Callithrix jacchus: one gene and its partners. The protein of the gene in region 7 interacts with the protein of the main gene of each other region in a pairwise test. Links are inferred from orthologs where the notes say so. Each region holds a gene or a part of one and is shown on either strand. Other genes may lie near its edges.

What was found.
Region 1: the proteins of CCNDBP1 (region 7) and THAP10 interact in binary tests that used the Homo sapiens proteins (3 or more experiments, as listed by UniProt). The two-hybrid records come from large-scale screens. The link is inferred for Callithrix jacchus from reciprocal best matches to the Homo sapiens genes CCNDBP1 and THAP10.
Region 2: the proteins of CCNDBP1 (region 7) and NANOS2 interact in binary tests that used the Homo sapiens proteins (3 or more experiments, as listed by UniProt). The two-hybrid records come from large-scale screens. The link is inferred for Callithrix jacchus from reciprocal best matches to the Homo sapiens genes CCNDBP1 and NANOS2.
Region 3: the proteins of CCNDBP1 (region 7) and AMPD2 interact in binary tests that used the Homo sapiens proteins (3 or more experiments, as listed by UniProt). The two-hybrid records come from large-scale screens. The link is inferred for Callithrix jacchus from reciprocal best matches to the Homo sapiens genes CCNDBP1 and AMPD2.
Region 4: the proteins of CCNDBP1 (region 7) and ZGPAT interact in binary tests that used the Homo sapiens proteins (3 or more experiments, as listed by UniProt). The two-hybrid records come from large-scale screens. The link is inferred for Callithrix jacchus from reciprocal best matches to the Homo sapiens genes CCNDBP1 and ZGPAT.
Region 5: the proteins of CCNDBP1 (region 7) and C1H22orf23 interact in binary tests that used the Homo sapiens proteins (3 or more experiments, as listed by UniProt). The two-hybrid records come from large-scale screens. The link is inferred for Callithrix jacchus from reciprocal best matches to the Homo sapiens genes CCNDBP1 and C22orf23.
Region 6: the proteins of CCNDBP1 (region 7) and STK25 interact in binary tests that used the Homo sapiens proteins (3 or more experiments, as listed by UniProt). The two-hybrid records come from large-scale screens. The link is inferred for Callithrix jacchus from reciprocal best matches to the Homo sapiens genes CCNDBP1 and STK25.

What each region holds. Positions count from the first base shown.
Region 1 is NC_133509.1:17,925,339-17,928,838, forward strand, and holds part of THAP10 (THAP domain-containing protein 10), read right to left. Parts: intron 1,707-3,500; coding exon 1,559-1,706; intron 1,451-1,558; coding exon 1,410-1,450; 3' UTR 1-1,409.
Region 2 is NC_133523.1:40,065,208-40,068,467, forward strand, and holds NANOS2 (nanos homolog 2), read right to left. Parts: upstream 2,050-3,260; 5' UTR 1,966-2,049; coding exon 1,540-1,965; 3' UTR 501-1,539; downstream 1-500. UniProt on the Homo sapiens protein: Plays a key role in the sexual differentiation of germ cells by promoting the male fate but suppressing the female fate. Represses the female fate pathways by suppressing meiosis, which in turn results in the promotion of the male fate.
Region 3 is NC_133508.1:147,514,377-147,518,666, reverse strand, and holds the start of AMPD2 (AMP deaminase 2), read right to left. Parts: upstream 2,801-4,290; 5' UTR 2,766-2,800; coding exon of another isoform or gene 2,698-2,765; coding exon 2,607-2,697; intron 2,436-2,606; exon of another isoform or gene 1,558-2,435; intron 1-1,557. UniProt on the Homo sapiens protein: AMP deaminase plays a critical role in energy metabolism. Catalyzes the deamination of AMP to IMP and plays an important role in the purine nucleotide cycle.
Region 4 is NC_133506.1:59,197,956-59,202,035, reverse strand, and holds the start of ZGPAT (zinc finger CCCH-type with G patch domain-containing protein), read right to left. Parts: upstream 2,801-4,080; 5' UTR 2,762-2,800; exon of another isoform or gene 2,667-2,761; intron 2,314-2,666; 5' UTR 2,286-2,313; coding exon 1,732-2,285; intron 1-1,731. Other genes in the region: ARFRP1 (ADP-ribosylation factor-related protein 1), read left to right, coding at 3,623-3,715, 3,961-4,048. UniProt on the Homo sapiens protein: Transcription repressor that specifically binds the 5'-GGAG[GA]A[GA]A-3' consensus sequence. Represses transcription by recruiting the chromatin multiprotein complex NuRD to target promoters.
Region 5 is NC_133502.1:208,953,240-208,957,495, reverse strand, and holds the start of C1H22orf23 (UPF0193 protein EVG1), read left to right. Parts: upstream 1-1,456; 5' UTR 1,457-1,656; intron 1,657-1,923; 5' UTR 1,924-1,932; coding exon 1,933-2,032; intron 2,033-4,099; coding exon 4,100-4,162; intron 4,163-4,256. Other genes in the region: POLR2F (DNA-directed RNA polymerases I, II, and III subunit RPABC2), read right to left, coding at 911-972.
Region 6 is NC_133507.1:162,779,750-162,783,249, forward strand, and holds part of STK25 (serine/threonine-protein kinase 25), read right to left. Parts: intron 3,020-3,500; coding exon 2,963-3,019; intron 2,539-2,962; coding exon 2,430-2,538; intron 1,673-2,429; coding exon 1,515-1,672; intron 1,426-1,514; coding exon 1,240-1,425; intron 1,051-1,239; coding exon 905-1,050; intron 638-904; coding exon 523-637; intron 254-522; coding exon 182-253; intron 1-181. UniProt on the Homo sapiens protein: Oxidant stress-activated serine/threonine kinase that may play a role in the response to environmental stress.
Region 7 is NC_133509.1:30,932,093-30,935,592, reverse strand, and holds the end of CCNDBP1 (cyclin-D1-binding protein 1), read right to left. Parts: intron 2,658-3,500; coding exon 2,597-2,657; intron 841-2,596; coding exon 794-840; intron 527-793; coding exon 412-526; 3' UTR 57-411; downstream 1-56. UniProt on the Homo sapiens protein: May negatively regulate cell cycle progression. May act at least in part via inhibition of the cyclin-D1/CDK4 complex, thereby preventing phosphorylation of RB1 and blocking E2F-dependent transcription.

The DNA of each region.
Region 1 (3,500 bases), about 13 Mb from region 7:
CTATTCTCAATAGAAGATCAGAGTTATGGTATGCTTCTCAGAAACCACTGTAACAATTTACTTCATGGTACAAAATCACCAGAGAAATTTTTCATGGTGAATGGCAGATGGGGTAGCTAATATTTCCATGCTTATTTCTCAAATGTAGAATTCAAAAGAGGGGTATTGACAGAAAGAAAACCTAACACCTGCAATGGGAATACATTAGAAATGTAATACTTTTTTTCATGATGTTAATGATTCTAAATTAATCAAGCTAATTAATGTGTTGCAGTAGGAACTGATGCAAATAGATTTCATTAATAAGTTAATGTAAGTGTATGAAAACTCCATCTCTAAATTGATTCTCTTTGAAAAATTTCTGTAAGAACCACAGATTCATCAGAAATGCTCACAGGACAGATCCATATATGTTATCAATTGACAAACTAATAAATAAATAACATAAAAAGTAGTCAAGGGTAGATGTCATTCTAGAAGAAGTTCTAGATTTCACTACCAAATCAATTAGTAGTGTCAGGCACGGCTGTGCTCACTGTTATTACTTTATTCCTTCAAATTATTTAGAAGAATAGTGACATTCTAACCAGCAAATGTCAAGTAAATCCCATAGAAGCACTGCTTCTGAACTAAGCTTAAATAAATATTCAATGCTTAACTGTGATTAGAATACGTTGTTGATATTGCGGTTTTGCTTTGTAACCTGATTTCTACCGAAAGGATTAAAAGGAAAAAAAAAAGTGAGGTAGGGCATGATGGCTCATGTCTGTGATCCCAGAACTTTGGGAGGCCGAGGTGGATGGATCACCTGAGGTCGGGAGTTCCAGACCAGCCTGACCAATGTGGAGAAACCCCGTCTCTACTAAAAACACAAAATTAGCTGGGTGTGGTGGTGCATGCCTATAATCCCAGCTTCTTGGGAGGCTGAGGCAGGAGAATCCCTTGAACCTGAGAGGCGGAGGTTGCGGTGAGCTGAGATCATGTCATTGCACTCCATCCAGCCTGGGCAACAAGAGTGAAACTCCCTCTCAAAAAAAAAAAAAAGAAATAAAGAAAAGAAAAAAGTGTTGAAAGTAGAGTGTAGGGATGTTTGTGGGTAGGGATTATCTTCATTATGTGGCAAGCAAGCAAACTTTTGCCATAGAGCTAAACAAATTTTGCTGGTACTCAACTGTCAAATTATCTTGAAGTGAAAGATTTACAATAGCAAAAACAGTAAAGATTTGAAAATCTATAGCACATCAGAGCATTTGAGGTTGGGTTTTTAACATGTCTCTTCTTTCACCTGTATAGCTATATAAGAGAGATCACTCTGTTCACTCTTGATATCCCAGTCTGTATCTGTTTCTGAATCACTGGAGTAAATGTCAAAGAGAGAAGAAGTTCTAGACTACAATAGAGTAGTTGCATTACAGTCTTTTTCCAAACACTTTCACTTTGGCTTGAATACCTGGAAGAGAATAAGTGTAAGTACCGAGGAGTTAGACTTTGCTTTTCATATATCTTGAATATGCAAAAGATCAATTTAATTGCTTAATCCATTGGAGTCAAAACATACCCACACTACGGTGAGAAGGCCTTTTCAAAGAAATTTGTGTAATTTTATGCACTGGCCCTTCTTCACAGTGAGTAGGCACTGCAGTGACATTATTAGATGGATTATCAGCATGGCCTTGGGTTTGCATAACTTCATTTTCACATGTAATCTAAAAATATAAATCATAGGAGAATCGTATTAAAGTTAAGTCTACCTTGCAGGGTTTTATCTTTCAAAAGTCACAAGTAGTAAAAGAGTATAGCTAAAAAATTTCAAAGTCACATATTAGTATGGTCGATATTTGAACCTAGGCAAGGTGAATCTATACTCCAAGCTTTTAAGAATTCTGCCATACTGCCGGGCGCGGTGGCTCACACCTGTAATCCCAGCACTTTGGGAGGCTGAGGCGGGTGGATCACGAGGTCAAGAGATCAAGACCATCCTGGTCAACATGGTGAAACCCCGTCTCTTCTAAAAAAGATGGATCACCCCTGGCCTCAGGTGATCCACCCACCTCGGCCTCCCAAAGTTCTGGGATTACAGGCATGAGCCACCATGCCCAGCCAAGATAATACTATCAGTATTAACTTAATTTGATATCTTAGCAGTCATATTATTCTAGAAAACCTAATCATTTGTTCTTTATAGAGAAGAAAATAAATGACTTCAATACTTTCCTGAGAAAAATTACATTGTGAAATGAAAATTTATTTTATTTTTTTTTTGAGACAGGGTCTCTCTCTGTCACCCAGTCTGGAGTGCAGAGGCATGATCTTGGCTCATCCTCCACCTCCCGGGTTCAAGCAATTCTCGTGCCTCAGCCTCCCATGTAGCTGGGATTACAGGTGCCTGCCACCACGCCCGGCAAATTTTTGTATTTTTAGTAGAGATGAACTTTCACCATGTTGGCCAGGCTGGTCTCGAACTCCTGGCCTCAAGTGATCTGCCTGCCTCAGTTTCCCAAAGTGCTGGGATTACAGGCATGAGCCACTGTGCCAGGCCATGAAATTTCGTTTGGGGGAAGTGATAAGGGTAAGAGGTAGAAAGAAGGAGGGTTTAGATATGCAAAAGACAATATAAGACAGGGTACCTAGAGATTATATGGAAGAGAGTAAGAAAAGGTATCTGGAAAAGGTAGGAGGGCCTGGAAGGAGAGAAAATAAGTGAAAGAGAAATGAAAACAAAATTAAAGTAGTTAGCAATTTTACCTACAGCCTTCAGGTAGTGGCAGCTGCCTTCAAAGCACTGAAAAAATATTTTAGCAGGTGTCTTTGGTGGCTGTACCATAGGCTATTGGTACTCAAGTTAAAGAAATTTTGTAGCCAGGCACAGTGGCTTATGCCTCCCAGCACTTTGGGAGGCTGAGGCGGGAGGATCACCTGAGGTCAGGAGTTCGAGACCAGATGGGCCAACATGGTGAAACTCCATCTCTACTAAAAATACAAATATTAGCTGGTGTGATGGCCCATCAGCTACTTAGGAGGCTGAGGCACAATAACTGCTCGAAGCCAAGAGGTGGAGGTTACAGTGAGTCAAGATCAAACCACTGCACTCCAGGCTGGGCAAGACTGTCTCACACACACACACACACACACACACACACACACACACAACTTTGTGAATAAATTCTTGTAAAGAGTCCCTTTGCAACATGAGTCTTATTTAAAGGGCTTATCTCTATTCATGTTTATAAAATAATGATCAATTTTCAGTAGTTACATCTACTTCTAAGCCAAACATTGTCAAAGTCTAGAATAAGCACATATTTCTTTACAAAAAGGTGTATTCTGGATAAAATAGAGTTTTAGATATTTAATCAGGGTTTAAAAAATAACTTTTGTTCCCTTTATAATAATAATACATTTTTAAACTGCAAATATTTGCACCATACAAAGAAGCAAAAGAAACTAAAAATTAGTCATAATCTCACAATCCATGGCTAAAACTTTATATTTGATGTGTT
Region 2 (3,260 bases), on a different chromosome or scaffold from region 7:
CCATTGCACTCCAGCCTGGGCAACAGAGCAAAACTCTGTCTCAAACAAAAACCAAAAAACCCCCAAATTACCAGGTGTGGTGGCACACACCTGTAGTCCCAGCTACTTGCCACCCCGTCTCTACTAAAAATACATAATTAGTCGGGTGTGGTGGTATGTGGCTGTAGTTCCAACTACTCGGGAGACTGAGGCAGGAGAATCTCTTGAACCCGGGAGGCAGAGGTCGCAGTGAACTAAGATTGTGCCATTGCACTCCAGCCTGGGCAACAGAGCGAAACTCTGTCAAAAAACAAACAAACAAACAAAAAAAACCAATAAAACCCAAAAATTATCTGGGTGGTGAGCACCTGTAGTCCCGGGTACAGCTACTCTGGAGGCTGAGGCAGGAGGATCACTTGAACCCGGGCAGTGAGCCGAGATGGCGCCACTGCACTCCAGCTGAGGCGACATCGCAAGACTCTGTCTCACAAAGAAACCGAAGACAGAAACAGATAGAACCATTTCAAAGATGACTGTAGAAACTTTTTATTCACCAGAGCTCAATACTCAGGGTCTGAGCCAAAAACTGAACAACTTAAAATCTGACGGGGGCCCTTCTTTTCTTTTCCCCTAAAATAAAATCTAGGCTGTTGCCTTTTCCATCCAGGTACTCAAACTCCTTTTTATCGGAACTTCCTTGACTTAAACGTTGGAGGACGAAACACACAGGAGGAAAAAATGTACTTTAGACAAGTATCATGATTTATGGGGGCGGATGGTAGGTGGCGGAGAGATGCGTGGCTCGCTGGGGGAAAGGACCAGTTGGTGATCTGGGGATGGGGGCAGGTACCGAGTGCAATGGGCTGAACAAGGAAAAGAGCAACCAGGGAGCATTGAAACGGGTCAGCTCACCCCACTGCTCTCCATCCATAGGTGAGCCTGCGAAGACATGGTGCTCTCCAGGGACACGGGGCCGTCCAGCGTCCCACTGAGGTCCTGAGGGATGGATGCTGAGGGCAGGGAATGAATGAACCGGTGTGGTCCACGATGACACCGCGGTTCTGCAGGAGGCTGAAAGTGGAGAAGGCTGGTCTTAAGTCGACATCCCGTCTTGAAGTTCTTGGGTGGGCACTTCTGAACCAGCCTTGTTCAGTGTCTCCCGAGGGCTGGTTTGGAACAGCACTGAGGAATCCTGGAGGTTCGAATATCCAAGAACTCCAGGGGGAACGGAGAAGTCGAAGGGGCAGGGCTCTTGTCACCAGCAGGCCCCACGAGGACAAAACATCCACGAACCGGGACCCAGAGGGCGCTGCAGGGCTGTGCAGGCCGGGTTCCCGGCACACCAAGGACCCTCGGATGCTTGAGCTCCGAGGGCTGACAGGTCCAAGGGGGCGGGGCTGGCCTGGCTCCCAGCAGCCTCCCCTGTTTCAGGATCCAGCAGGGTGGAGTTCTTGGGGCCAGAAATTCCAAAGGGCTGGGTGACTGGAGAAGAGAGTGGAGGGACTTGGGTGGGATGGACCAGGAGGGTCAGGGGTGTGGGTGGTGGGCATCTCACGGTCCTCAGCGCTTGACCCTGCGTCCAGCCGAGTTGCGCCCGCTGCGGCGGTACAGGGACTGCTGGCCACCGTTGAGCGGGCAGTACTTGAGCGTGTGGGCCTGGCCGCCGGTGGCCCCGCACACGGGGCACACATAGTGCCTCAGGATGGGACACACCACCATGCCGTCCGGTGTCTTCAGCTGGTGTGAGGAGTAGACGTTGTGGGACTCCCCGTTGTGCTTGCAGAAGTTACACAGAGTGCCCAGGCCCCCGGGGGCCCCCGGCCCTCCCAGTCCCTGATCCTGCCCCAGTGGGGGCCCGGGACTTGGCTCATCAGTTTCTTGAGTCTCCAGCTTTTGCCCCCGACTCTCAATCAGCTCCCATACTAACTGGCTCAGGTTGAAGTAGTCCTTCCACATGTCGAAGGGTGGCAGCTGCGGCAGCTGCATGGCACCAAAGCAGGGGTGGTGGGCACTGGAGAGGGGCTGGGGCTGCAGGCCTGTGGGCAAAGGCAAGAGCAGCAGGCGTTTCCCGGAGTAGAAAGGAGCTGCACCCCCTTTTATAATCCCCAGAAACTCTTCTAAGCAAAGGTGGAGCTTAGGATTTAAAGGGGCCACTCCCACCCATAACCCCCATCTGACTTTAGTACTTCACGGAGATCTGGAAGGAGGTCATTCCCCTGGTCTCTGGTTCCTGCTCTGCCGCCAAGGTGTTCTGTGTCCTCTGAGAAGACACTTCCACTTTCTGTGCCTCAGTTTCCCTATTTGTTCAAAGAAAGTCCATGTTTGCAAACATCTCCCACTCCTAAGCTGGAGTGGCTGCACCCTTCGTAGACTTCAAAGTGATTCCTAATCATCATAACAGCCAGGCTGGGTGCAGTGGCTCACACCTGTAATCCCGGCAGTTTGGGAAGCTGAGGCAGGAAGATGGCTTCAGCCCAGAACCTCTAGGCCAGCGTGGGCAAAATAGCCAGACCTTCTCTATAAAAAATAAAAAGACAAAAATAGTAATAACATGATCTGATTTATTTTATTTATTTGAGACACTGTCTCGCTCTGTCGTCCAGGCTGGAGTGCAATGGTGCGATCTCGGCTCACTGTAACCTCCGCTTCCTGGGTTCAAGTAATTCTCCTGCCTCAGCCTACAGAGTAGCTGGGATTACAGGTGCCGGCCACCAAGCCCAGCTATTGGCCAGGCTGGTCTTGAACTCCTGACCTCAGGTGATCCACTTGCCTCAGCCTCCCAAAGTGCGGGATTACAGGCATGAGCCACTGCTCCTGGCCTATTATTTTCATTTTACAGAGAAAGATAGAAAGCCTGGAGAGGTTAAGGAATGTATCCAAGGTGACAGCAGGGAAATGGCAGAGCCAGGTTTCATACTCACTCTGGGAACTGGGAATTGATGTTAGAAGTGGCAGAGGACCTTGGCATGGGACAGTCTCATTTAGAATGCCCCCTCTTGGGCTGGACGTGGTGGGTCACACCCGTAATCCTAATACTTTGGGAAGCTGAGGCTAGAGAATCACTTGAACCCAGGAGGCAGAGGTTGCAGTGAGTCGATATCGCACTGTTGCACTCCAGCCTGTGTGACAGAGTGAGACTCCGTCACACACACACACACACACACACACACACACACACACACAAAGGTGATCCTGAAATTTGAGAACAGCATGGGGGCTGGAGTGGCTAGAATGGAGGGAAGGTCCCAAGATGAAGCCAGCATGGTTTGCAGGGGCTGGAC
Region 3 (4,290 bases), on a different chromosome or scaffold from region 7:
GCTGGCCAAAGGGTAAGAGGGGAGAAAAAGGAGAGGAGCAGCTCTCTCCACACCCACAGCCCCAGGTCGGCTTCCCCTGGCAGTGGCCTTGTTGCTCACCACTGTCCTCTGGGCCCTGACTATGGGGTCCCTCAGGAGAGACAGGGTCTCTGCTGGGGAAGGAGCTGGCTGGCAGCTGAGGAAATGGCCCAGTCACTGAGGCTTCCTCGCCACCCAGCTGCTCAGGGGACTGGTTCACAGGCTCCTGGACCTGCAATGCCTGTTCCAAGCTACCATCCGGGATGGGACAAACTGTCCAGGATAAGTTTGGGAGAAAGGGAGCTAGGATGTGGAGGGTGTGGGTCTGATTCTGTTCCTGCCGACAGGCATGTCTCCACCTACCTCTGGGAGGCTTTGTCCTCATCTGCAAGTGAGACACAGTATGTGGTCCCTTCCTGCCTAGCCACAGCTGCCATAAGAGATAATGGCTCTGCAAGCATTCTGCATAACACCAGGCTGTGCTGAGGTGAGGGCCTACAATTACAAACTCCTGGGACCCTCAAATACCTTCTACTTGTCGCCCCACCCATTGAGAACGGTGGAAGGCCCAGTGCAGGGCGAAGGCAAAGGCCAGTAAAGGGCAGTGAACTTGGCACGAGTGGAGATGCGGGTGACTAAAGAGGGGAACTGGCCGGGCGCGGTGGCTCACGCCTGTAATCCCAGCACTTTGGGAGGCCGAGGCGGGTGGATCACGAGGTCAAAAGATCAAGACCATCCTGGTCAACATGGTGAAACCCCGTCTCTACTAAAAATACAAAAAAATTAGCTGGGCATCGTGGCACGTGCCTGTAATCCCAGCTACTCGGGAGGCTGTGGCAGGAGAATTGCCTGAACCCAGGAGGCGGAGGTTGCGGTGAGCCGAGATCGCGCCATTGCACTCCAGCCTGGGTAACAAGAGCGAAACTCCGTCTCAAAAAATAAAAAAAGAAAAGAGAGGAACTTGCCTCACCCCCAGAGCGTAAGATCTTTTCTTGCTCAAGAGCCCTGATTCTACACACCTCCTCCCTACCTATGGCCCCAGACCACTTCTAACTCCATCTAGAGGAGGCTGACCGCAGACCCCCATGGCTGGTTCATACTGGGACACCAGGAGTCGAGTCAAAGGCCCAAATCTCAAGCCTCTCTCCTAGCAGGGGAGGTCTAGGGCTCCACAGCAATCCTGGGCTGAGCAGCACAGATCCCAACAGCCAGCGCCATCCCCGAGCCTGCCAAACCACTCTCCAGGGCTGTTCGGGCTCACTGAAGGTGACACATGGGCAGTAACCTCTATGCTCTCAGAGGCCGGTCCTAGAAGACTCAGCTCCCTACTGGCCCTTTCTCTAGGGGCCAGCACCGCACATTCATGTAGGAATCAAGCAAAAGCCAGAGCAGACCACTCCACAGCCACTCCCACCAACTCCGAGATTCTGAGCACCCCATCTCACCTCCCGACCAGGAGCCCCTCACACACTGCCAGGACTGCCTCAGTAGGCACCGAGGTGTCCACGGTTTTGACCCACAAGTATCAGATGCTCTTACCATCTCACCACCAAAGGGTCTCTGGTTCTTGGCTAGATCTATACCAGTTGTCCTACTGCTGACCCAAACAGGGCCAGGGAGGGACCCACCCAGAGGACACCCTTTCTGGATGGCACAGACCTCCGGACACTGCAGACCTTGCACCAGGCATCTTCAGTGAAACAATAGGGGATGTAGATAATCGGGCTGTAGCTACAGACTGCTGCAGGGGTGGGAGCAGTAAGCACGATCTGGTCATCAAAGTCAGGGTGGGTCCTTTCTTAGCCACAAGGCCTGGGGGCAGACAGCAGGCAGACATTCCTCTGCAAGCGCACAGCCAGGCAGCTAAGCCCTCACTAAGACAGACACTGCCGCACCACGTTGCCTGCTCCAATGGTGCAGAGATGCTTACTAGAGTGAGAGACGAACCAAAGGGTGCAGGAGCACACGCAGTGCAGGCAGCTGCCCCAGACTGAACCCTGCACAGACCTGACGAAGGACACCCCATGCTCCTAAGGAGGCTCAAAACATAGACCAGGAATGAGCAAATAGCAAACAACAGATACAGTCAAGCCCCCAGCTGTGGGATGCCAGCCAGCAATGGTTGTGCCCAGATGTCAGACCCCCAGTGAAAGGGATCTAGATGTGGGGTGCTGGAAAGAGGAGCTAGCCACAGGAGAACAGCCTGAGCCCGCCGGTAAAGGCACAGGCGCCAGTCAGAGCGGCCAGTCCGCAAAGCAGTCAGTCCCACACCCCCCCACTCCATTCACACACGCTTCGCACGCAGTCGTAGCACATGTACACGCTGACACGTGCATACACACCTCTTGCTGCATCCACACCATGCCCACTGCTCTGACAGGACAGCATCCCTGGCACAGACATCTCAGATCCACCCCCCCACCTCCCTACCCCACCTTCCAAGCCAGCCGGCCCTGGAACTGAGGTTGAGGGGCACCACTGCAGAAGGATGCCGGAGGAGGTGGCCCCCCTCTGAGGGACCAGCCGCTTGGGCGAGAGGTGGCGGGACAGAGCCTAGCATCTATCCTGAGGCCAGGAAGCACACTCACCTGGAGCTGCAGTGGAGGCCTGCGGGCTGGCCCGCTTCTTAAAGGGATATTTGGCCTTGGGCTTGCCAGAGCCAGATGGATAGGATGCCATGGCTGGGACCACGGCGGCGACAGCGGGGGAGTCTGAGCGGCACCGGTTGGGGCCTGGCTCTGCCACATCCAACCCCTTCCTCCGCCCCGCCCCCAGCGGGAGTGACTGATGCAGGAAGCAGCGGCTCCGCAGGCGGAAGAGGCCTTGGCCACGATTTCTCCTGTTGTCTAGGCAACCTCGGGAAGTGGGGCCTCTATCTCTGCCCCTTATTCCTCCCCTCCCTCCTCAGTCCCTGGAGTGACGTGACTGATGATGTCTGGGCCTGGCAGGGGGCGGGGGAGTGGGTGGGCAGAAAACAAGACGGGGAAGGGCCAGCCCCCAGATCTCCACTAAGTCCCCAAGAGCCCTCACCCCATCATGCCAGGGCTCCAGGGCAAACAAGCCAAAGTCCAGGCTAGCTGGTCCTTCCAAAAAGAATAACAAACAGGAATTCAGCCGCGAGCGAGCCCAAGCTCAAATACAGTCCTCCCGGGGCAGGGCAGGCTTACATACTCCGTGAAAACCCAGCACCCCTTTTCCTTCCCCATCTGACCCTCAGCTTCAGGGGCAGCCCAGCTCTGGGAGGAGGGGAAAGAACCGAGAATCCCAGCCCAGGAGGGAGGAGCTCGTGCTGGGAAAATTCCACCGTCGCCAAAAAGGTGCCTCCTAGGAAGGCCAGGAGACTCCCTTATCTGGGGGTCTGGGACAGAGACCCCAGCCTCTTCGGATTTTTCCTCTGTCTCTGCACACTCTGACTCTGCTCCCCAGGCCCTCCTAGGAGGACCTGACCGCCTTCCCTAGGTACTGCAGGCTGCGCTGGGACTCCCACTCTCTTGGCACCCTGGTCACAGCACTTCTCTGTCCCAGAGACCCTCCCTCCAAAACCCGCACACACACTCACCTGAGGCCATGCTGCCTGAGTCCCGAGGGGAGGCTGCCCACGAGGGTCTGCACAGCAGAAATCCTGGGTCCTGAGGGAGGGCAGGGGGGTCGGGGCCCAGACCCCGGCCAAGTCGTTCCAAGGGCCCTCGCCCGGGCACTGAGATGGGGGAAGTAAGGTAGTCTTTCAAAATTGTCAGCTGGCCGGAGGCGGACTCCCGCAGACCTCGGCAGCCGGACTGGCCTCAAGGCGACCCCGGCGTCGCGACCACCCAACCCCGCAATCGAGAGGCAAGTGGGCCACGTGCTCCCAAGAGAGCGGGACCCGGAACTCGTCCACGTTTCTCTCAACACTCCCTAGGCATTTACGGTCGGACTTCTGCGGCCGGACTATGGGGGAATCACGCAACAGGTGCGACCCTACCAAAATCTCGCCGGCTACGCGCCAGGCTCTGCGGCCCTTGGCCCCGCCCACTCCTGGCCCCGCCCACGCCTGGCGACCCCGCCCCGCCATTTTTCCTCTTCCTGGGCGCCACGTGGGCAGCCACCACACCGCGGTAGGGCTGGCCTGAGCCGACCATGGGTCTTGGGCCAGTTCTGTGCGTCAGCTTCCTCATCAGTAAGATGGAGTAATGACCCTACCTCACTCTAAGGGGTTACTGTGAAGATTACACAGTGTCTCGCATGAAGTCAGGGCCCAGTGAAAGGTAGCTGTTATTATTGTCCCAGGATTCA
Region 4 (4,080 bases), on a different chromosome or scaffold from region 7:
CAGTACACGCATGTAGTATCAGCTATCAGAGAGGCTGAAGTGGGAGGATGGCTTGAAGTAGGGAGGCAGAGATTGCAGTGAGCTGAGATTGTGCCACTGTACTCCAGCCCGGGTGACAGGGCAGCAAGACCCTGCTTAAAAAAAACAAAAACAAAAACCCCCACAAAGTAAGACATCCAAAGAACTAGGAGTGCTACCTGGCCAGCCTGAACTATTGGCTAAAAAGAAAATTACCTACTAGAAAGCCTGGTAAATATTTCTTCTCAGAGAAAAGTAAAAAGGAGCAAAAATAAAGCTATGCGCTTATGGAAATGGAGACATCATGGTAATAGCTGTGGATATTCGAACATGGAAGAGGTGCTGCCATGAAACGTGTTATCTATAATGATGTGGAAGTGACTCTTTCTTGTCTTCACACTGACTTGGACTTTCAAAAAGTTACTTTTTAAGTAATATTTCCTTATCAGAGATCCACTCTGAAGTATTCATAGTTGGAAAAACCCAGTACCTTCTGAAATTTGCTTTAAAATATCCAGGAAGGGAAAAAGCGGGGCGGGGGAACAAGCAAAATGATAATAGACTGTGGGCAGTGATTATGCTAGGCTCTCTCATCTGGGGCAGGTTTCAAAATTTCCATTAAAGTAAATTTAAAAGTTGAATTCTAGAGAATAAAACTGACAACAGGGCCGGGTGCGGTGGCTCACGCCTGTGATCCCAGCACTTTGGGAGGCCAGAGCGGGTGAATCACTTGAGCTCAGGAGTGTGCGACCAGCCTGGGCAACACAGCAAAACCGCACCTCTACTAAAAATACAGAAATTAGCTGGGTGTGGTAGTCCAGCTACCTGGGGGACTGAGGCAGGAGGATCAATTGCGCCCAGGAAGTCCAGGCTGCACTCCAGCCTGGGTGACAAAGTAAGACCCTGTCTCAAAAAAACAAACAAAACTGACAATAGGTTGGGGACCTATTCTCTTTCACATAAGCCTCGCTCTGTTGCCCAGGCTGGAGTACAGTGGCTGAATTTTGGCTTACTGCAACCTCAGCCTCCTGGGTTCAACTGATTCTCCTACCTTAGCCTCCTGAGTCGCTAGGACCACAGGTGCCTGCCACCACGCCCAGCTGATTTTTGTACTTTTTTTTTTTGAGACGAAGTCTCACTCTGTCACCAGGCTGGAGTGCAGTGGTGTGATCTGCAACCTCCACTTCCTGGATTGAAGCGATTCTCCTGCCTCAGCCTCCCGAGCAGCTGGGACTACAGGAACACACTACCATACCCAGCTGGCTTTTATACTTATAATAGAGACAGGGTTTCACCATGTAGGCCAGGATGGTCGCCATCTCTTGACCTCGTGATCCGCCCGCCTCGGCCTCCCAAAGTGTTGGAATTACAGGCATGAGCCACTGTGCTTGGCCGATTTTTTGTACTTTTAATGGAGATGGAGTTTCGTCATGTTGACCAGACTGGTCTCCAACTCCAGACCTCAGGTGATTCCCCCCCGGGCCTCCCAAAGTGCTGAGATTACAGGCGTGAGCCACCTTGATTAGCCTCCTTCCATGCATCCTGCTCTTATCCCAGAAGAAAGAGGCACATGCCTAAACAAGGATACTGCTTTCACAGCCCGCCTGCCCCAGGAAGCTGGGACCAACTGCAAAGGGAGGGCCGATCCTGACCTGACCCTGTATGTGCACCCCGTACGCCTCGAGGTTGCCATCTGACAGCAAAGGGCTTTACCTGCAGTTCTCCTTGAAGCGACACTTTCCCTCCAGGAAGAACGGGCAGGGCTTCAGGGACTTGTGAGTGGGGTACAGGTAGAGCACACGGACACCCGCCGAGCCATCCTCCGCCTCTTCTGTGCCCACCACCATGGCGTTGTGATACTCCAGGGTGCCCCACGAGCTGTAGTAAGGCGCGCTCACCTTGGTCCCACTCAGCTCTTCCTCCTCTCCCTCTTCCTGCCCACCTGCCTCAGATTCTGGCCCCGCCTCTGCTTTAGGAACTGTCTCTGATCCGGCCCCAGGGGCCGCCTCGGCGATGACCTCCCGGAAAGCCTGGTACTCAGCATCTTCCTGGCCCAGGCGCTCTCCGTCCAGCGCGGCCAGCAGCTTGCTCTTCCTCACGGACACCAGGCTGGCCTCGGTGAGCTCGATGAGCTCCTTCAGGTCCCCCTGTAGCTGGCGCAGGTCGGCCTGCTCGGACGAATCCAGGCCGGCGCCCAGGGCCAGCTCCACCTGCTGCAGCTGCGCACGGTAGGTCTGCAGGGCAGCCTCCAGGCTGTCCTCATCCATGTTGAGAGAGGGAGGCGCTGGACCGGAGCTGCGAGAAGAGGGGCCTGGTGAGCCCCGCGTCTCGGGACCGACACGGAGCGAGGGTCTCGCAGCCGCCACCACAGCCTGCGGCGGGCACGGGCACGTCCCCTTTCCCTCGCGGAGACACCGGTTCAGAGCGATAGCTCCCGGCGCGGAGGTCGCAGCCCGGTACCCCCGCTCGGGCTCCGCACTTCCCTTCCGAGCCGCCCCGGGCTCGCTGCTAGCCGGGTTCCGCGTCACCCCCTCCCCGCAGGGCGACCCCGCGCGGCCCTCCGCCGAGCGCACCCGCCGCGCCCGCAGCCTTGCAGGCTGGTCCCGACCCCCGCCCGGCCTCTCTTCCGTCCGGCCAGGGCCGCGCACCTCCTCAGCGCGGTTTCCCAGCCGCCTCCATAGAGAGCCCGCCGGCCTCACCGGCTAAAGCAGGCCGGAGCCCCGCTTTCGCCCTCGCAGCCTACCGGCACTTCCTCCCGCCGCAGCCGCCTCCGGAAGTGCCTGGCGCGCGGTGGCAGCCGGGAAGCGGAGCGCAGAGGCCGCCGGGACGCGATTAAGCTTCTGCCCCACGGCCCGCGTCCCGTCAGGCCCCGCGCGGGGTCGGTGCCGGGTCAGCAGCGGCGGCTTAGAGGCCGCGGCGGACGCAGGTAGGTCGGAGGCTGTGCGGCCGGGCCCGAGGCCCGAGAGGCGGCCCTGGACTCGAGGTTGGGACGCGGGTGTGACAGGAACCAGCTTTAGCAGCTTGTCGGCGAGCCTCGAACCTGGCGGCCGCGACTGGCAGCCGCCGGGAGCCCGGGGGCCCGAGCGCAGTTCCTCCTCCGCGGGAGTCCGTCCCCGCCCGCCGCGCGCTGCCTGCGGGTCCGCTCTCCACAGGCCGTCCCCGTTTTAAGAAACGGGGTGATGGGGCGCCTGCAGGGGCTCCTGGCTGTTACTGGGTGGGGCTCGCGGCCGAACACCCGAGGGCGCTGTGCCCAGGCGGGGCTGCAGCAAGTGCGTTCCCCGTTCCGCGCGCGTGAAGCGTGGGAGCGACGCGGGGGGGAGGGCGGGGGCGCAACCGAGCTCACTGTGAACACTGGCGGGGTGGTCCCGCGGGCAGGGAGGCCCCGGGGCAGGAGTGGCGGAGGGTGGCTGATCTGGGAGAAGTTACGGAGGCCGAAGAGTCACAAAGGGATGGGGTGGAAGAGAGATGAGGAGTCGGGAATGGCCCCAGGTTCTAGTCCTGAGCGGTCAGCTGGACGTGGAGCACCACTGACCACCGTGGAGAAACTCGGGGGGCGGGTGCGTTCTTGCTGTACAGTGACATCTGTCGGGGTGTCCAGGGCAGGATGTACACGCTGCTGTCCGGCCTGTACAAGTACATGTTTCAGAAGGACGAGTACTGCATCCTGATCCTGGGCCTGGACAATGCTGGGAAGACGGTGAGTGCCCCTCCCTTGCCTGAGCCCCTCCCCACGACCTGGTGTCAGCTGCATGCTCACCACCCAGACAGAATCCAGACTTCTGAGAAGACAGGGTAGTCACCGCCAGCTTCTTGAAGAGCAGAACGTTGCTTTGTTTCTGTTTTTTGTCTTTTAAGGAGCAGGCCTGAGTAAGGATATTTGGGAAAAAGACTTGGGAAACACTGTAGTCCCTATTTGATGTGTCTGCCTCCCTCTCTCCTCAGACCTTCCTGGAGCAGTCGAAAACCCGGTTTAACAAGAACTACAAGGGGATGAGTCTATCCAAAATCACCACCACCGTGGGTCTCAACAGTAAGGGGTCTGAATAGCAGGGCTGTGGGTTT
Region 5 (4,256 bases), on a different chromosome or scaffold from region 7:
AAGCCTTTCACACCAAGAGCTCCATCAAAACCCCTCTTCCCAAGTTCATTAATGATCTCCACGTTGCTAAATCCAATGGCCAATTCTCAATCTCATTTAGCCTGATCTACCAGCTGACACATTAGGCCACTCGCTCTCCTCACTTGACTCCAACGACACCTCACTCTCTTGGTGTTCCCCCACCTCCCTGGCTTCTCTTTTCCTCCAAGCACTCAACGTTTGAATGCCCGAACGCTCAGCCACGGGTCATCTCCTTTTCTCTACTGACACTGAGAATGTTGTAGCAATCCCACACGTTTCTTATTTTTATCTTCACACTAAATCTCTTTGTGCCCACACATCCAACAGGTAATTTTTTTGGCTCTACTTTTAAAATAATAATATATCCAGAATTCAAAACCACTTCTCACCACCTCTGCTCCTACCACCCTACCACAAGCTACTGACTTTCACCTAGATTACTGCAACCAGGCCGGGCACAGTGGCTCACACCTGTAATCCCAGCACTTTGGGAAGCTGAGACGGGTGGATCACTTGAGGTCAGGAGTTCGAGACCAGTCTGGCCAGCATGGTGAAACCCCATCTCTGCTAAAAACAAAACAGCCAGATGTGGTGGCACATGCCTGTAATCCCAGCTACTCGGGAGGCTGAGGCAAGAGAATCCCTCCTTGAACCTGGGCGGCAGAGGCTGCAGTGAGCTGAGATCGCGCCACTGCACTACAGAGCCTGGGCGACAGAGCAAGACTCCGTCTAAAAAAAAAATAAAAATAAGATTACTGCAACCAACCCTTCCAGACTTGTATTTAATGCCACCGGTGGAGCTGCCCCAGACCCTTCTCTGGAGAACTCCTATATTACATACTTCTAGAACTGGAGAAGCTCACGCGACTCCCATGACCTGTTTACTTACTTATGGGCCTGTGCCCCCTGTTCTAGAAAGCGAGCACGTGGAGGGCAGGGACGATTCCTCATTCACCTCAATATTCCCATGACACAGAGCCCGGCTCACCGAAAGACACCTTTCCTACGGATCCTATCCGGACCCTCGAGCCAGGAGCTTCCCGTGCCCGGTCTCCGGTCGGGCCGATGCTCCTGGGTCCCCGCCCTTTCCTTCCCCGGCACCGCCTGCCCCCTCAGGCCGCCAATCCCCTCAGACGTTGCCCCTCGACGCCAGGCTCCTCAGCCGCCTTCGACCCACGCCTTGCCTCATCTGCCCCTTCTGAGGTTGCCGCAAAGGCCACTTGGCTCTCGCACTCACTTGTCCTCGTTGTCTGACATGACACCCTAGTCTCTGCGACGCCGCTGCTCCCCAGTGCCGCGCGGAGACCCGCAAACGGCTCCACTACGACTCGCGCGGCGCCACGATTATCCTGCGCTTGCGCGGTAACCCAGAGGCATCACTTCCGGGAGGCAGGACGGCGCGAGAGAGAAAGGGCGCATGCGTTGACTCGTGGGCGCGTTACCATGGTAGCCACGGTAGCCACAGTTGTTAGTTGCCAGCTCTAGCAGCCCAGATCGCGTAGGATTTCTACGTGGCACCGGTGCGGCTGCGGCTGTAAAGCAGTGGTCACCGCCTCCGAGAGCTCACCTCTATGTGGAGAAGGGAGCACCCAGAGGAGGTCTTAGGGTGAAATTTCAATTTTGGCATATCTCTCAGTGGGTACTGTTCTGATCTGGCTATGTTAACACTGCCTTCCTCCCGAGGGGACTTCCCTGCCACAGGCGCTGGGTCAGAATGAGGACTCTGTGTGTGTATCTGTCTGTGTCCGGATGGGAGGTTTGGGCACTGTCTCGATATTAAATGGCGGCATCACGATTCTCTGGCTGGATCCCCGCTTCCAGACTTCTAGGGTGGTGGGCGTGGGGAAGAGGAAATTAGGGATAGGAGACAGAGGGTGTGTCTTTGCATCCTTCCCTCCTCAGGGTCCTTGCATGGCTTCACAGAAGATAGAAGTAGTGACCAAAGCAACGGGGTTCCGGCGCCGCCCCAAGAAGACCACTTACACCCCGGGGACCTGCGAGCTGCTCGAAGGTCAGTGCTTTAAAGCAGCGATCCCCAGCCTTTTTGGCACCAGGGACCGCTGTCGTGGAAGACAAGAACGGTTTCGGGATGAAACTGTTCCACCTCAGATCATCAGGCATTCCTTAGATTCTCATAAGGAGCCTGCAACCTAGATCCCACGCGTGCGCAGTTCACAATAGGGTTCACGCTCCTATGAGAATCTAAGGCTGCCACTGACCTGAAAGGAGGCGGTGACGCTCGCTAGCCCGCTGCTCACCTCCTGCTGTGCGGCCCTGTTCCTAACAGGCCAGGGACTGGTGTCAGTCCAGGAACGGGGGACGGGGCAGGTGGGGGACGGGTGGAAACCCGAGTTAAAGGATGAGAAAAGAATGATGGTAGTTACCCTCTGTAACTCAGTTCTCCCCTACCTGACCTGTGGCTTAGCAATTATTGCTATTTTCCTTTACAGATAAGGAGCCTGGGGTTCAGGAAGCTTCCAAGTTCTACTGCATATACCTTAGTGGGCAGGAGCGGGGGAGGGAGGGAAGGTTCAAGGTGCTACAGCTTGCCAAAAGTCAACTAACATTTTTAGAGTAATTAATTCCTATGCATGCTTTAGATCACACTTTCAACTTTCCCGGGAAGACCTGTCTCCTCCTTACCACCACAGTAGGCTCGACTGTTGTGTGCCCGCACACATTTTCCTTCACTGGGCTCAGTCACTTGGTGTCCCATCTATCCCTCTTTCATCAGCAGGAATCGTGTCTGTTTCAACTCACGACTGTACCTCCAGCCTCTGAAACGTGATGAACAAGTGTTCATGTGTTCTTTTACTCAACCACGTTTTGCTTTTTGAGACAGAGTCTCACTCTGTCACCCAGGCTCGAGTGCAGTGGCGCGATCTCATCTCACTGCAACCTCCGCCTCCCAGGTTCAAGGGATTCTCCTGCCTCAACCTCCCAAGTAGCTGGGATTGCAGGAACACACCACCATGCCCAGCTTTTTTTTTTTTTTTTTTTTTTTGTATTTTTAGTAGAGATGGATGGGGTTTCACCATGTTGGCCAGGATGGTCTCGATCTCCTGACCTCGTGATCTGCTCACCTCAGCCTCCCAAAGTGTTGGGATTACAGGTGTGAGCCACCGCACCTGGCCAACATTTTCTTATGTTTGAAACACAGTTTTGCTCGTTACCCAGGCTGGAGTGCAGTGATGCCATCTCGGCTCACCACAACCTCTGCCTCCCAGGTTCAAGCGATTCTCGTGCCTCAGCCTCCCGAATAGCTGGGATTACAGGCATGTGCCACCGCGCCTGGCTAATTTTGTATTTTTAGTAGAGACAGGGTTTCTCCATGTTGGTCAGGCTGGTCTCAAACTCCTGACCTCAGATGATTCGCCCGCCTCAGCCTCCCGAATAGCTGGGATTACAGGCATGAGCCACCGTGCCCCACCAACAACAACATGTTTAACTCTTTAATGTGCCTTAGACTCTGTTTTAGGTGCTGGGGATACCACAGTGAAAAAAGAAAAAGAAGAAAAAATATTTGTTAACAGAGGGCAGAAATTTTATTAAACCAGCAAAAATTCTTATCATGAGCTAAATAGAAAGATAAATAATAAAATAAAATATATAGAATTTTAGGTGGTGATAAGTGCTGTAGAAAAAACGAAGCAGGGGCTGGGCATGGTGTAATCCCAGCACTTTGGGAGGCTGGGGCGGGTGGATCACGTGATCAAGAGATCGAGGCCATCCTGGCCAACATGGTGAAACCTCTGTCTCTACTAAAAATACAAAAATTAGCTGGACATGGTGGCGCACACCTGTAGTCTCAGCTACTTGGGAGGCTGAGGCAGGAGAATCGCTTAAACCTGGCAGGCGGAGGTTGCGGTGAGCCGAGACTGCGCCATTGCACTCCAGCCTAGTGACACAGCGAGACTCCGTCTCAAAAAAAAAAAAGGAAAGAAAAAGTAAAAACTAAGCAGGAAAGGCATTGAGGATAGAGAAGGCATGCTCAGTGCAGAATGGGGCTAGGATGTCAGGTGAAGACATCTGCCTGCAGCCAGGAGGCCTCATACAAACTGAATGCTTTGTCTTGTAGTGATGATGAAGGAATCCAAACTGACGAACACCCAGCAGCGCCACATCATGGACATCGTGAAAAGTAAGGGGCAATTCACAGCGGCTTCCAGGCCAGAGGGATCTGGGGCCACATTCTTAATGCTTCTCCATGTTAAGGGAGAGAGGACCTCATTTAA
Region 6 (3,500 bases), on a different chromosome or scaffold from region 7:
ACAAAAGGAGTCACCGCAGCAGATTCTGCTCCTTCCACCCAGAAAACCCAGCCCATAATCAGCTGCAGGAAACCTAGAAACTGAAACTTCCCCATGACACCATGAGGAGACAACTTCATGGAACAGTGTCACAGCCTTGTCCCTGGTGGAACCCCAAGCCCAGCCCCAGCCCCATCCTCACCTCTCCGAAGACGGGCCTGACCAGCGTGGACAGGCACTGGGACCTTGGCTGCCTCTTGACGGGCTCCACGGGCTGCAGAGGTGAAGCCCAGGGTGAGCAGGGCAGTGCGGGCAGCAGGCAGGGCACTCCCACCCCTGCCCAGGCTCTGGCCTTAAAGGGACAGAGGCTGGGAGCAGCCTGTCAGGCACACGCCCAGGACTGGCTCCAAAACATCAAGCAACCCAGATGGCCTGAGTCCAGGCTCCTGTGACTCCCATCCTCCCCTCACAAATCTGGCTCCAAATAAGTCCCTCATCTTCCTAGCACATGCACATGGGGCAGAGGCCAGGCCAGGGACAGACCTTCTGTGAGCCGTGCAGGGCCGTCCCCTTGTGAAGCTTGCTGTGTGGACTTGGCCGGATGGTGGGGGGGAATGTCCAGATCGGGCCCTGCTCCCCGTCCTCCGCCTCGCCATCACTGAAGAGGATGAGGAGTTACCAGGGCCAGTGGGGAGAGGGCAGGAGGCACGAGAGCCTCAGGGCACACCTCATGGCACCTGGTGGGGCTTTGCCAGGCCATGGCGTCCAGCAGATGCCACAGCAGGCCCTGTCGCACAGCCTGAGGGGGTCCCTGCCCCACACCACACCTGGCCACCCACAACCCCAGCACCCACACCTGCTCTGGAGTGGGGACCACCCCCGTCAAAGCACCTAGGGTCACCATGAGGACAAACCAGGCCCCTACATGTCCGAGTCCTCAGAGCTGGACTCTTCGCCATGCCCCTCAGACTTCCAGCGCTTGTAGCGGTCGATGAGCTCCGTGAGGAAGGAGGTCTTCTTGGTGTAGCGTGTGATGAACTTGTGCTTCAGGAGCTCCTTGGCCGTGGGCCGCTGTGGGGGGTCAGAACACAGGTCACCAGGCCAGCCAGGCTCTGCCTCAGGGAAGCGAACATGAGGCAGCCTGGACCGGAGCGGGTCCTCACAGCTATGAGGCTGCGGTGCTGAGGCCTCCGGGCTGTGCTGCCCTCACTGAGCAGACACCCTCCCTCCTCCATGTGGAGGGCCAAAGGCGGGCCTTACGAATCGGGGGTCCTTGTTGAGGCAGGCCTCCACGAACTCCTTGAAGGGCTTGCTGTGCTGGCCCTCCAGGGTGGGTGGGCTGTTCTTGGGAATCAGGAACAGGACGCGCATGGGGTGGAGGTCAGAGTTTGGAGGCTCCCCCTTGGCCAGCTCAATGGCCGTGATCCCCAGGGACCAGATGTCGGCCTGGAGAGAACACAAGGACTGTCACTGCCCTGAGCACCTGAGCCAGGTGCACCGGAGCCCGCACCTGCCCGCCCGCCCACTGCACCCACCTTGAAGTCGTAGGCGGACTGCTTGATGACCTCAGGCGCCATCCAGAAGGGGGTGCCCACAAACGTGTTCCTCTTGATCTGCGTGTCTGTGAGCTGCCCGGCCACCCCAAAGTCTGCCAGCTTCACATCCCCCTGCTCTGAGAGCAGCACGTTGGCAGCTGCTTGACACAGGACAGGCAGGTGTCACCCCAGGCTCCACATGGCTCCACCCAGGGTCCCCTGAGAAGGGCCAGGGTACCATCCACCTGGCCTCCCAGGGTGCAGAAAAGCTGTCCTCAGGACCTCAGCCCCCCTTGCCACTCTCAAACCCAGGGCCACCTAGGGCCACTGGGGCAGTGCCAAGCAGGAGGCCCAGGGCTCCCACTCTGAGCTCCAGGGCTCTGCCTGCATTTGGCCTTTACAACAAATCCCAACAACAGAGCTACTTCACCCATTGGGGGCCAGTGCAGAGGTGACCCTGACCCAGGGTGTGGACAACACAGGCCTGCCAGGAAGCCCCTCGCTCCACCAGACTCGTCCCCTACATGGCAGATGGCTCGGTGCCAGTGGTAAGTCCCTCCCCATGGGCTGGCCCAGCCTCTCGTCTGCACTCAGCAGGGCCAGACCACATGCCAAGGCTACTCAGTCTACACCTGCCATTATACCATGGGCCACAGGCGGGAAGCAACAACTCCATCTAAGTGTGGCCCCTTCCTATACTGGGTGCACAGCTGGTTTCCTCAGCGTACTGGGAAACCGTTACGAGCAGCATCTTCTGGAAATGGAGCAAGACAGCACTGCTCAGTTTCAGGGGGGCCACAGGGTTCTCTATATCCCAGACCCCGGCACCACCAGCCACCTGCCCCTCACAGGCCCCAGCCTCTGAGGTCAGCGGGGCCCAGGACAATACAAGAGCCACATCCACCCCAGCAGGACCTTTAATGTCTCGGTGGATCTTGCGCTCAGAGTGCAGATAATCCAGACCCTTCAGAATCTCCCGCAGGATCGTGGCAATGTACGTCTCCTCCAGGGGGCCTGGTTTCAGCTGGAGAGAAGGTGGGACAGCAGGCCTCAGCTCCCACCCCAGGCTCCTCTGACGGGGGAGGGCTGTCCCTGCAGAGCTGGGGGCTTCATGTTCCTTTACCTCTCAAACAGAACTAAGTCTCAGATGGGAGTGGGGTAGTGGAGGCTCATTCTAAAGCATATAAGCCAGCTTCACCTTACTGTCGTGTAGCAGAAAAACAGGGTCCCAGCCATCTCCCAGCGTGCTGTCCCCACCCACTGCCACAGGCCAGGACCCCTTTCAGCACCAACTGGGCAGATGTGCGGCTGGCAGTTCATTTTTGCTTTAGACGATTCCTAACTAACACCTAACTCAGCATGACACGAGACAGGTGGCCCCTGGAGCCCATGAGTCTGAGGGGCAGGGGACTCGGGCACTGCATGACCCCCCACAACCATGGCCTCACCAAGTCCAGCGCAGAGCCGCCACCCAGGTACTCCATGATGATCCACAGCTTGGTGCTCTGGGACCGGAGACAAGCCCATCAGCATTTGGCAGCAGGAGGAAGGGCAGACTCCGGGGTAGGAGTCACAGGCCAGAGTCAGCCAGGGCCCAGGCCCCGCCGGTCTCACCCTTGCCAGGAACCCTAACCAGGAAAGGGCTCCCTCGGCCTTGCCCATCTCCCCTCTTGCCACACCCCTGTACAGATACTAGGAGGACCGATCGAATCCACTTCACCAAGACCCTGTTGAAAACGAGGCTGCTGACCGAGTGCTGCAGGGCTGGGAAGAAGGAATGCCTGGCAGACACAAGGCCGATATACCCACCATCCTGGGCAGGATGGGCACAGCGTTCACTACACCCCAGACCCTGGGCACCACCCATCACTTGCCCCTCACAGGCCCACTTACCACTGCTGGCAGGGGCCCCCCAGAGTACTCCTAGGAGCACCCTCATGCCACTCCCACAGGCAGGCAAGTGGGCCCCAATGGTCATTCAGAGCC
Region 7 (3,500 bases):
TTTTAGTCTCAATCCACTGTATTTCTGGTAAAAAGAAACTTTGGAAGGGCACTCAATCACTGGCAGGTTAGCATTTTATTGAGACCATCAACATCTTTACAATGAAAACAATTTACAGCAAAAAGCAAATAAGGCAGCTTTCCTAGGAATCTCTGAGAAATGACTCAGGAATGAGAAATCATGCAATTATTTTTTACATATAGCACAGAAAAATATATTATTTGTATATGGTTTGTAAATAGGTGCCAATCTGGACTAACCAACAATCTTTGGTAATAGTGTCTCTTGCTAAATATAAACAGGCATTGCCTCTCAATCCAGCAAGCATTCTAGCTCCATTTTAAAAGGAGACATCAGAGCCTGACCATGATGGTGAGAAGAGGAGAAGAGAGTATAAATGAACCTGAAAACTCATAATTCAAGTTCTCTTTGTGTGAGCTCCTTGATTCTATTCATGCAATGATCAATGGCATTAATAAGTAAAGGGATCCAACTATCTTCTGGCTGAGGGGTCACATGACTTGCTCTATGAATAGAATAGAAAAAAAAATAGGTTAAACTTACTAGGGTGTCCTCAGGGAAAACCTGTCCTCAGGAGGGAGCACAGGGAAAACTGTAATTTTTTAAAGGGGTGCTTCTTTGCAGAAACTCAGCTGCCCCACAACTGAAGTTGAAAGAAAATCCCACACCCACCCTTTCCCACTCCTTGAAATGGGGGCTTAGGAGTTGAGAATGTCTGGACAGGAGCTCCACTTTACTCTCAAAAAGCTATCTGAAAAGTCTTCATACTTACTTTGTGATTTCAAGCACCTTCTTTAAGACAGCCACAAGTTTCGCAGACTAGAAAAGAAACATAGAAGTTACTCACCCTGAGCCCTACCATAAAAAGGCAAGCTCAAATATTTTAAAAGACTCAAATGATTAAAATATATATATTTAGAAAACGAACCCTGAAGGAAGCACGCAAAAACAAAAATGCTGATTAGGTTAGGGTGATGGGATTATGGGTTCTTTTCTCTTTAGCAAGATCTTGTTAATATTGTTACTATAACGTTTTAATAAGATTTTAAAAATCCAAAATATTTTCAATTTAGAAAAGAATAGAAAAGGGAACAATGTAACCTGAATTGGTCCCAAAAGCTGATAGCTCAAAATATAAAGCAGAAATGACTAAGTTTCCTGTTTTTTTTTTTTTTAAACCTTATAAAAGATTTTAACACTGCCAATATAATAATAACATGGAGACATTTCTCTACTAAAAATACAAAAATTAGCTAGGCATGGTGGCGCATGCCTGTAGTCCCAGCTACTAGGGAGGCTGAGGCAGGAGAATTGCTTGAACCCAGGAGGTGGAAGTTGCAGTGAGCTGAGATCACACCACTGTATTACAGCCTGGTGCCTGGCGATGGAGTGAGACTTTCTCTCTCAAAAAAAAAAAAAAAAGATACATATGCAGTATACATTTTAAAATTGCTAGAGCAGATGCTATGTTTGGGATAGTTGACTAGGCATACTGCTAAAGATGTTTATTTCCTAGGGAGTCAATTTTTTAAGTTAATGCCCAAAAGGATCCTATTCTACTTCAAGGTGTTTGTACATCATGAAGAACATCTGACGAATCTAGTTTCCATTATCCAATTTATCAGCTATTACTAGAATTGATACGTTCAACTTTAAAATATAAGCCATTTGGCAGTTTTAGGGCTCTTTCCAATAACAGTAGAAAGAACTCTCTCTAGTAAATGGCACAGAACTTCAAAGAATACAATAAAATCAGATATTTATAAGAAACTTGACTCTCCATGGTTAAATCACACAATGTGTTTGTATTAGAACAGAGTATGTTTCTGTAACACTTATTTCTGTCTAATGTAGAATTAAGAAACTTGCAACCTCAGCGAGCTACTTCATCAACAGCTAGAGTTCAATCTAATTGCTGCCTAGTCTAGAAACTAGAAACTTTTGACTTCAGGTTGAGAAGTTCCTAAATTACTGTGTAATTAAGACTTTCTTTTCAAATAAGCATTTTCTTTTTTCTCTTTTTTTTTGAGACAGAGTCTTGCTCTGTTGCCCAGGCTGGAGTGCAGTGGCGCGATCTTGGCTCACTGCAACCTCCGCCTCCTGGGTTCAAGTGATTCTTCTGCCTCAGCCTCCTGAGTAGCTGGGATTATAGGCATGTGATGCCTAGCTAATTTTTGTATTCTTAGTAGAGACAAGGTTTCACCATGTTGGCCAGGCTGGTCTCGAACTCCTGACCTCAGGTGATCCGCCTGCCTCAGCCTCCCAGAGTGCTGGGATTACAGGCATAAGCTACCACGTCCAGCCTCAAAGCAGCATTTTCTAAGGCCTTTAGGCTTTTCTAAATGATTACCCAGGTAATGATGGAAGAGAGAACTACCAAAGCTCATGGCTATTATAATTCAACTTTAACAAATATTTATCAAGCACAAATGCATGCAAGAATTGCGACATTACTGTTGTACTTCCATCCAAATGTGACAAATAAATATGTACCCTATAGCTTAGAGGAAATACTAGTGATTAGTGAAATTCTTCCCATTAGATATGTAGCTATTCCCTCAAAGCCAGTACTTACATTGATTCGCACAGTCAGGTGACACATAGGTGGATATATGCTCAGAGCCAAATCATCCACACTAAGAGCAGAAAACAAAAGTAACCATTAACAAAAAAAGAAATGCAGCCAGGTTGTTTCTAGCACACAACTATGGATGTCAACAGTGAGAAACTGTCCCAGAAATGCCTGTCATTTTTTTTTTCTTTTTTCTTTTGCTCATCTGACATCCAGGAAGCCTGTCAGTTTTTAAAACTGGGCAATTGGGCAATCAATGCAGAATGAGTTCAACCAGTCTTTATTGGAACATGCATATCCCATTTCACGAGGAAGCTGGGGGAAAAATTCCCTTGGTTCATAGTAGGGTACATGATCGATTCAGTCAAAAATGTGAGGATGTGAAACCATCAGTTTAATACCTAATGTAAGCAGGCAGGGTTCATCAATGGAAACTAAAATTAGAGTAAAAGGTATCTTTCCTAAAGTGAGCACCACTTTAACCAAGTGATCAAATTTAGAACCACCAATAATGAGGCAAACCAACATCATGTACCTCCCTGATATGATAAAATGAGGAGCACAAAACATTCAATTATATGATATTCTTGCAAAAAATGAAAAAACAATCACATGAATCCAGATTGTTGGATATTTTACAAGACAACTGACCTGGTTTCTTTTTAAAATGTTGATTTAAAAAGACTACAAAGGATAGGAACTGTTCTAGCTTTCAAGAGATGAAAGAGATGACAATTAAATGTAATGTGAGACCTTGACAGAACCCTGAATTTAGATGACATTTTAGATAGAGACAACTGGACAAATCTGAATATTAGATAATATTATTACATTCAATGTCAAATTTCTTGGAAGTGACAATAAGAGCAGGAATAAAAGTACTTCAGGAGATACATACCTAAGTATT